2 linked regions of the Macaca fascicularis genome follow. The protein of the gene in region 2 purifies or fractionates together with the protein of the main gene of each other region. This does not show direct contact. Links are inferred from orthologs where the notes say so. Each region holds a gene or a part of one and is shown on either strand. Other genes may lie near its edges.

Evidence for each region. Proteins that work in one complex are often made in the same cells at the same time.
Region 1: the proteins of CAPZB (region 2) and SH3BP1 purify together in Homo sapiens (co-immunoprecipitation; 3 studies listed by BioGRID and IntAct, with this or other methods). This does not show direct contact. The link is inferred for Macaca fascicularis from reciprocal best matches to the Homo sapiens genes CAPZB and SH3BP1.

The regions. Positions count from the first base shown.
Region 1 is NC_088384.1:13,993,124-13,996,641, forward strand, and holds part of SH3BP1 (SH3 domain-binding protein 1), read right to left. Parts: intron 2,887-3,518; coding exon 2,775-2,886; intron 2,431-2,774; coding exon 2,349-2,430; intron 2,256-2,348; coding exon 2,175-2,255; intron 1,372-2,174; coding exon 1,255-1,371; intron 1-1,254. UniProt on the Homo sapiens protein: GTPase activating protein (GAP) which specifically converts GTP-bound Rho-type GTPases including RAC1 and CDC42 in their inactive GDP-bound form.
Region 2 is NC_088375.1:215,739,939-215,743,456, reverse strand, and holds part of CAPZB (F-actin-capping protein subunit beta), read right to left. Parts: intron 976-3,518; coding exon 910-975; intron 164-909; coding exon 87-163; intron 1-86. UniProt on the Homo sapiens protein: F-actin-capping proteins bind in a Ca(2+)-independent manner to the fast growing ends of actin filaments (barbed end) thereby blocking the exchange of subunits at these ends.

The DNA of each region.
Region 1 (3,518 bases), on a different chromosome or scaffold from region 2:
GCAGTGGTGTAATCTGGGCTCACTGCAACCTCTACCTCCTGGGTTCAAGCAATTCTCCTGCCTCAGCCTCCTGAGTAGCTGGGATTACAGGCGTGTACCACCACGCTTAGGTAATTTTTGTATTTTTAGTAGAGACGGAGTTTCACCATGTTGGCCAGGCTGGTCTCGAACTCCCAACCTCAGGTGATCCACCTACCTCGGCCTCCCAAAGTGCTGGGATTACAGGCATGAGCCGCCGTGCCCGGCCTGTTTCTTCATTTTTATTTTTTTTTTGAGACGGAGTTTCGCTCTGTTGCCCAGGCTGGAGTGCAGTGGCACAATCTTTGCTCATTGCAAGCTCCGCCCCCTGGGTTCATGCCATTCTCCTGCCTCAGCCTCCTGAGTAGCTGGGACAACAGGCACCCGCCACCACGCCCAGCTAATTTTTTTGTATTTTTAGTGGAGACGGGGTTTCACAGTGTGCTAATTTTTTTGTATTTTTAGTAGAGACGGGGTTTCACAGTGTGCTAATTTTTTTGTATTTTTAGTAGAGACGGGGTTTCACAGTGTTCGCCAGGATGGTCTCGATCTCCTGACCTCGTGATCCGCCCGTCTCGGCCTCCCAAAGTGCTGGGATTACAGGCTTGAGCCACTGCGCCCGGCCAGGGGTGGAGCTATTAATAGAACCTGATTGAGCCGGACACGGTGGCTCACACCTGTAATCCCAGCACTTTGGGAGGCCAAGGCTGGTGGATCACGAGGTCAGGAGATCGAGACCACCCTGGCTAACACGGTGAAATCCCGTCTCTACTAAAAATACAAAAAATTAGCCAGGAGTGGTGGTGCGCACCTGTAGTCCCAGCTACTTGGGAGACTGAGGCAGGAGAATCGCTTGAACTGGGGAGGCAGAGGTTGCAGTGAGCAGAGATTGTGCCACTGCACTCCAGCCTGGGCAACAAGAGTGAAACTCTGTCTCAAAAAAAAAAGAAAAACAAAAAACAAAACAAAACAAAGAACCCGAACCCAATCTCTGGGCTCCCAGCTTCCCATGCCACTAAACATCTCATGACCACCACTGGCCAGAATGCCTCTCTCCAAAGCCCTGTGGCCTGCACGGCCCCTTCGGCCTGTTCCTCACGGCAGCCGCAAAAACAGGAGCTGCTCAACCCACTCCAAAAATGGGGACACCGAGGCCCAGGGGAAAAATAAGACAACAGATGGCTGGGGTGGGATCTGCCTTCCTCCTCCCACCTCCCCCAGCCCACGGCCCCTCACCCTTCTTTCTCAGGTGGCCACAGCAAGTTGGGTCCCAGGACTATGGCGATGTTGCTGGGTGTCATCTTGTTCACCTCCTGCTCCTCGGCCAGTCGTGCCAGGAACTTCATCAGGTACCTAAGGGCAGAGGTAGGCTTAGGCCAGGGGCAGAACGCACCCAGCCCTGAGAATTCTCCAGCTCAGGGTTTCCAAAGAGTGTGAAAGACACCGCCCAGAATGGTCTTAACACTGTCACAGTTAAAGCAGCTTATCCGCTGAGCGCCAACCCTGCGGCCGGCACTGAGCCAAGTTGAGTCCTCGAAGCCACCCTACAGGGTAGGGACTATTACAGTCTGCATTTTTCAGATGATGACGCCGAGTGGCCTGCCCCGAAGTGGCATGCGAAGTCAGGCAGTATGGCTTCAAAAGTTCAAGGTCTCATTCACTTCAATGCTTTACATAAAAATATGTATGTGACTAATTCAGCCGGGTGCAGTGCCTCACGCCTGTAATCCCAGCACTTTGGGAGACTAAGGTGAGTGGATCACCTGAGATCAGGAGTTCGAGACCAGCCTGACCAACATGGTGAAACCCCATCTCTACTAAAAATACAAAACTTAGCCGGGTGTGGTGGCAGGTGCCTGTAGTCCCAGCTACTCAGGAGGCTGAGGCAGGAGAATTGCTTGAACCCAGCAGGCGGAGGTTGTAGTGAGCTGAGATTGCACCACTACACTCCAGCTTGGGCGACAGCGTGAGACCCTGTCTCAAAAAAAAAAAAAAAAACAGTATGTATATATATATGTAAATGACTAATCCATCAAAGCTGCATTTGCAGAAATATTTCTTAAAATATAGTGACAAGGCCAGGCTCAAGCCCAGGGTCCCTGACCCCAGCTGGGCTCTGGCTCTGTGGCAGGCTGGGGGGGCGGGCTTGGGCTCACCTGAGGTTGCTGAGGTTCTCGGGGGGCAGGCGGCTGCACACTTCTTGGAGGGCCTGCAGCCGGGCCCCTGGCTCCTTCAGGCTGCGGAGGGAGTGGAGAGACCTGTCAGCCAGCGCAGGGCTACCCCTTTGCATCCTCCTCTTCCCCATCCCCTCCCTCCTCCAACATCCTCACCTGGCTGCCCTCATCCAGTCGTCATAGAGGTCGAAGGTCATCAGGGGCTCTGGCAGCTCCCGCAGATAGGACTTGAGGGCACCTGAAGCAGGAGTGTGGGGGAGGGTCAGAGGCAGCCCCCACCCCGCTCTCCCACTTTCCCTGTAGAAGGAACCTCCGGCCCTTGTTCACACTAATGTGTCTAGATCTGACAGTTTCTTTGGGCTGCAGGCCCTTTTGAGAAAATGAAGGCTAGCCATCATTTCCCCAGAAAAATGTACAAACATTTTGGGGGGCTCATGATGGATCCCACATTAAGAACCCCTGAGCGTCCTCAGTCTCCTCAACAGAATATCATGTCTTGAAGCCAGGCTTATCTTGGGATCATTTCACGCCACTGCACCCCTTCCCCCCAACCTCCTGCCCAGGGCTCCCCGGATCAGGCACCTGCCACGGCGTGTGGGTCGGAGCAGAACTCCTCCAGGCTGTGGGGGTCCGAGGCCATCGTCTGCTTGAGACGCTTCAGCACTGAGGCCCCAGCAGCCAGACGGAAGAGACCCTGGGTTCAAGAGGGGGCAGGCAAGGGTCACAGAGGGGTGGGCAGGGCAGGATACCCAGGGGCCTTGTAGCCTGGGGTGTGTCACTGGCCCTCGCTAGGCCTGTGTCCCCACTGGTGTGGCCGGCAGTGTGGGCACCATGGTGTCCACAGGCCTCAACCTTCAAGGTCTAGAATTCTGAGCAAAGGGCAGGGCTGGGAAGTCTGGGAGGAGGTGGGAAAAATCATGGGGAAATGGGAGCCCAGTCAGAAGTGGAAGGGAGGGGCCAGGCGCGGTGGCTCATGCCCGTAATTGTAGCACTTTGGGAGGCCCATGCAGGTGGATCACTTGAGGCCAGGGGTTCGAGACCAGCCTGGACAACATGGTAAAACCCCATCTCTACTAAAATAAAAAAAATTAGCTGGGCATGGTGGTGGGCATCTGTAATCCCAGCTACTTGGGAGACTGAGACACAAGAATTGCTTGAACCTGGGAGGTAGAGGCTGCAGTGAGCCAGGAGCATACCACTGCACTACAGCCTGGGTGACAGCGAGATCCTGTCTCAAAAAAAAAAAAAAAAAAAAAAGGGCCAGGCACAGTGGCTTATGCCTGTAACCCCAGCACTCTGGGAGGCCGAGGCAGGTGGATCACCTGA
Region 2 (3,518 bases):
CCCAAGACCACACAGCTAGTAACTGGCAGAGCCAGGGTTCAAACCCCTCTTTCTGCTTCTAAAGCGTGTGCTTTCTGGTACATTACCTCAGCCCATTGACGATATCCTTTGTTTTTCCAAAGTAGATCTCGTTCAGCGTACTTCTGATTTTATTTTCCATGTCCTGGAAGGGAGGTCGGTCAGCGCCTTGGCAAACGGTCAGGAACCCTGAGGCCAACGCCCTCTCTCCACCCGCCAGCCCTGCAGTCCCCACTATGGCCACTGGAGGGCAGCACACACCTGCTCTGGGGCACGGGTGAGCGGGCTCCAGGCTGCCAAGACCCCACCTGCCATCTGTGCTCCAGGCGCCTTCCCGTCCTCAGGAAGGGAGGAAGCCAGTACCCAGGTATTGGCGGCCAACTCTGCCCATGCCTGGGAGCTGGTCTAAACCACATCACCGCCCCTCAGACTCCCCACTAATTTTGTGAACAATTCTGTGAAACCGGAGAGCACCTCCCTGCCTTCCCAAACAACGTGGTGACAGGAGGGCCAAGGCAGCCGCAACTGAAGCCACTCCAGGGCCCACTGGCATTTCTGGCATCTGCTTCCTCTCCCAGCGCAGGGCCCTGTTCACACCCAGGCGATCAGGGGAGACAAGACCTAGTGCGCCCCAGAGCCAGCGCCTGAGCAGAGTCTTCTGGGAGCCCGGGTCGGGGGGGGAGCAGGAGGTGGCCCTGAAGCCACAGCCTGCTGGCATCCAAATCAGAGGCTCCGAAAATATGAGGCCAGGGCAAAATCCAAGCAGCGCTCTGCCGGCTGCTGTGGAGCTGGGAGAAAGCAGCAGAGAAGGAGGCCAGCACAGCGGTGCCGGGGGTGCAGTGTCACTGCCGTGGGCCAACACAGGAGCCAGCCAGAGCCCCGGCCACTCACCTCTACCAGGCGCCCGATGTTGGCTATGTGTGGGGAGCAGTCACCCACAGTTTCATCTTTCTCCATCTGCAAAAGACAGAAACATTCCAAGTCAGAGAAAGCCGGGGCTTTCTGAGAACGGCAGACAGCCCAGCCCATCTCCACGGTCTGCAAAGAGCCTATTGTTCCCACCGTGGAGCCAGCTGCAGGTATGACAAGGCCACTTTTGCAGCCTGGGAACTGAAGCACAAACCGACTTCAGTTTCAGACCATGAAGAGCCCAGCCGGCAGAAGCCCAGGGCCCCCACTTTCAAGGGAGAAGATTTTGCTGCTGCCCATGGTAGAGCAGGCAGATGCCCAGAGCCACAGCAGGGAGGGCAAAGGCAGAGGCTCTTGACAGACACCGGCTCACCCGAGCCAACTGGAGAAGACTCGCTCGGTTTGTCTTCAGGCCTCTACTGGCAGGCCCAGGCCAGGCCGTCCACCCTGGGTTCAGGGCCTGACACTGCAGGGGAAGCTCCCGGGCTGCTGCTGCGCCCTGACGCTCCCGAATGGTGGCTTTGGGGTGCCATCTGCTGCGGTCTCGCGGGGAAGGACAGACAACCTCTGACGGAGACTCCAGGCCACAGGGATTTAGTGGCTCACCCTAGTCATGCAGGTGGCAATGGCAGAGCCTGGGTTAAACCCTTCCTCGCGCCAGGGCCCGTTTGTTCTACTCTGTGAGGGGAGTTTGAGCGAGAGTCTCAATACAGACTGAGGTGATGAGGGGGGCGGCAGCACTCAAGCCCCATCTCCTCTTCCCACGCCCAGGAAGAACTGGCTCTGACCCAATCATCTCCACTTGGAGGAGGGAGGAAATGGAGGCAGGTTAGGGAAGAAGGAATTCGGCACTTTCCCTCCAATTTTTTCTTATCTGAAGCCTTATTTCCCTGACAAGAATATAAATTCTTTAAGGAGAGATGTGCCTGTCTCATAACTCACAGGGTGCCTGGAAGAGTGCTAGGCACATAAATGCTCAATGTTACTACACTGAAAGTAAGAATCTGTAGCTACCATGACTGATGTTGAAATAAAATGTGGAAGCTGAAATAAAGAAAGAAAGAGGAAGAAAAGAACAGCATCAGAAAGGGTAGAGTTCAAAATGAGTTCAGGCCCATAGAAGAAAAACCAGCAAAAGGCGGGTTCCTCTCTTTGGAACCAGGAGACGGGTGGAGGCTGGGGGGAGATCCCGTCTCAGAGGGTACGGCTCTGTTGCTTCTCACCTATTTCTACTTCTCCTCATCAGGGAGATCGACTTTCAGGCTGCGAAAGGTGGAACCAACCTGGTTAAGGGGGTGAGCAGAGGGCAGGAAAGAACCAAGTCACTTTAAACAATCAGGCTTGCAGGGTCGGGGCAGACCTGACCTGTGACTGCAATCTTTGACACTGGGGGGCGGCAGTGGCTGACCTGACTTTTGTCTATTTTTTTTGTTTTTTTCTTTTTGAGATGGAGTTTCACTCTTGTTGCCCAGGCTGGAGCGCAATGGCACAATCTCGGCTCACTGCAACCTCTGCCTCCCCGGTTCAAGTGATTCTCCTGCCACAGCCTCCCTAGTAGCTGGGATTACAGGTGCCCGCCAACACGCCTGGCTTTCCTTTTTTTTTTTTTTTTTTTTTTTTTTTTTGTATTTTTAGTAGAGATGGGGTTTTGCCATGTTGGCCAGGCTGGTCTTGAACTTCTGACCTCAGGTGATACACCTGCCTCGGCCTCCCAAAGTGCTGGGATTACAGGTGTGAGCCACTGCACCTGGCCGACCCGACTTTTGTCAAAAAAGGAAGAATGGCCTCTGCAAGGAAATGCTAGCTTGAAACTGATCCAGACAACAATTTTTGATGGGATCATTAAAATTATCTGCTGGCACATTTTAAAGTCAGAGATCACGAGGAGCCAGCCAGGCTCACTATGAACAAGCCCTGCACGAGAATACTTCTTTTCCTGTTTTGGTGGGGATGCTGGGCTGGAAGAAAACACAACTACTTAAATAGGGTTGCATCCTTCTGGCAAGTTCTCGTCTACCATCCTGCACCTGTGGCTGAGAGGAAGGGGAGGATGGAGCCTCTGCCGATAGGGGTGGGGACCCGGCCACAGTTCCACAGCCCCGTCGCCCACCCCTGCCCACTCCCCTCCACACCTGGTCAGGGTCAGCTCACTGCCATACCGACCCACCAAAAATAGAATGATTTGTGCACTGCATATATTATGGGGCACCCTGTGGCAGTCTTTGCATGCCCTTGGTCAACTTGTTTGTCCAGGACTTAAGTAAAGGCCCGGCTGAGAGAATGACCAGCTTCCTATCGACTGTGTCAAGGGTTTAGATGGTCACAGGGTTAATACAGAACCCGGAAACCTGGGCTAGCTACAGAAGGAAACTGAAGCTTAAAGATGCAAGAATCACTGTTAGATTCCAATGCCTTTGCTCTTCCTACTTCACCATGCCAGTTAAATGTGCCGGGGCAAATTCAAGTCAGATATTTAGGCTTAAGGGTGCATTTCAGGCCGGGTGCGGTGGCTCAAGCCTGTAATCCCAGCACTTTGGGAGGCCGAGACGGGCGGATCACGAGGTCAGGAGATCGATACCATCCTGGCTAAC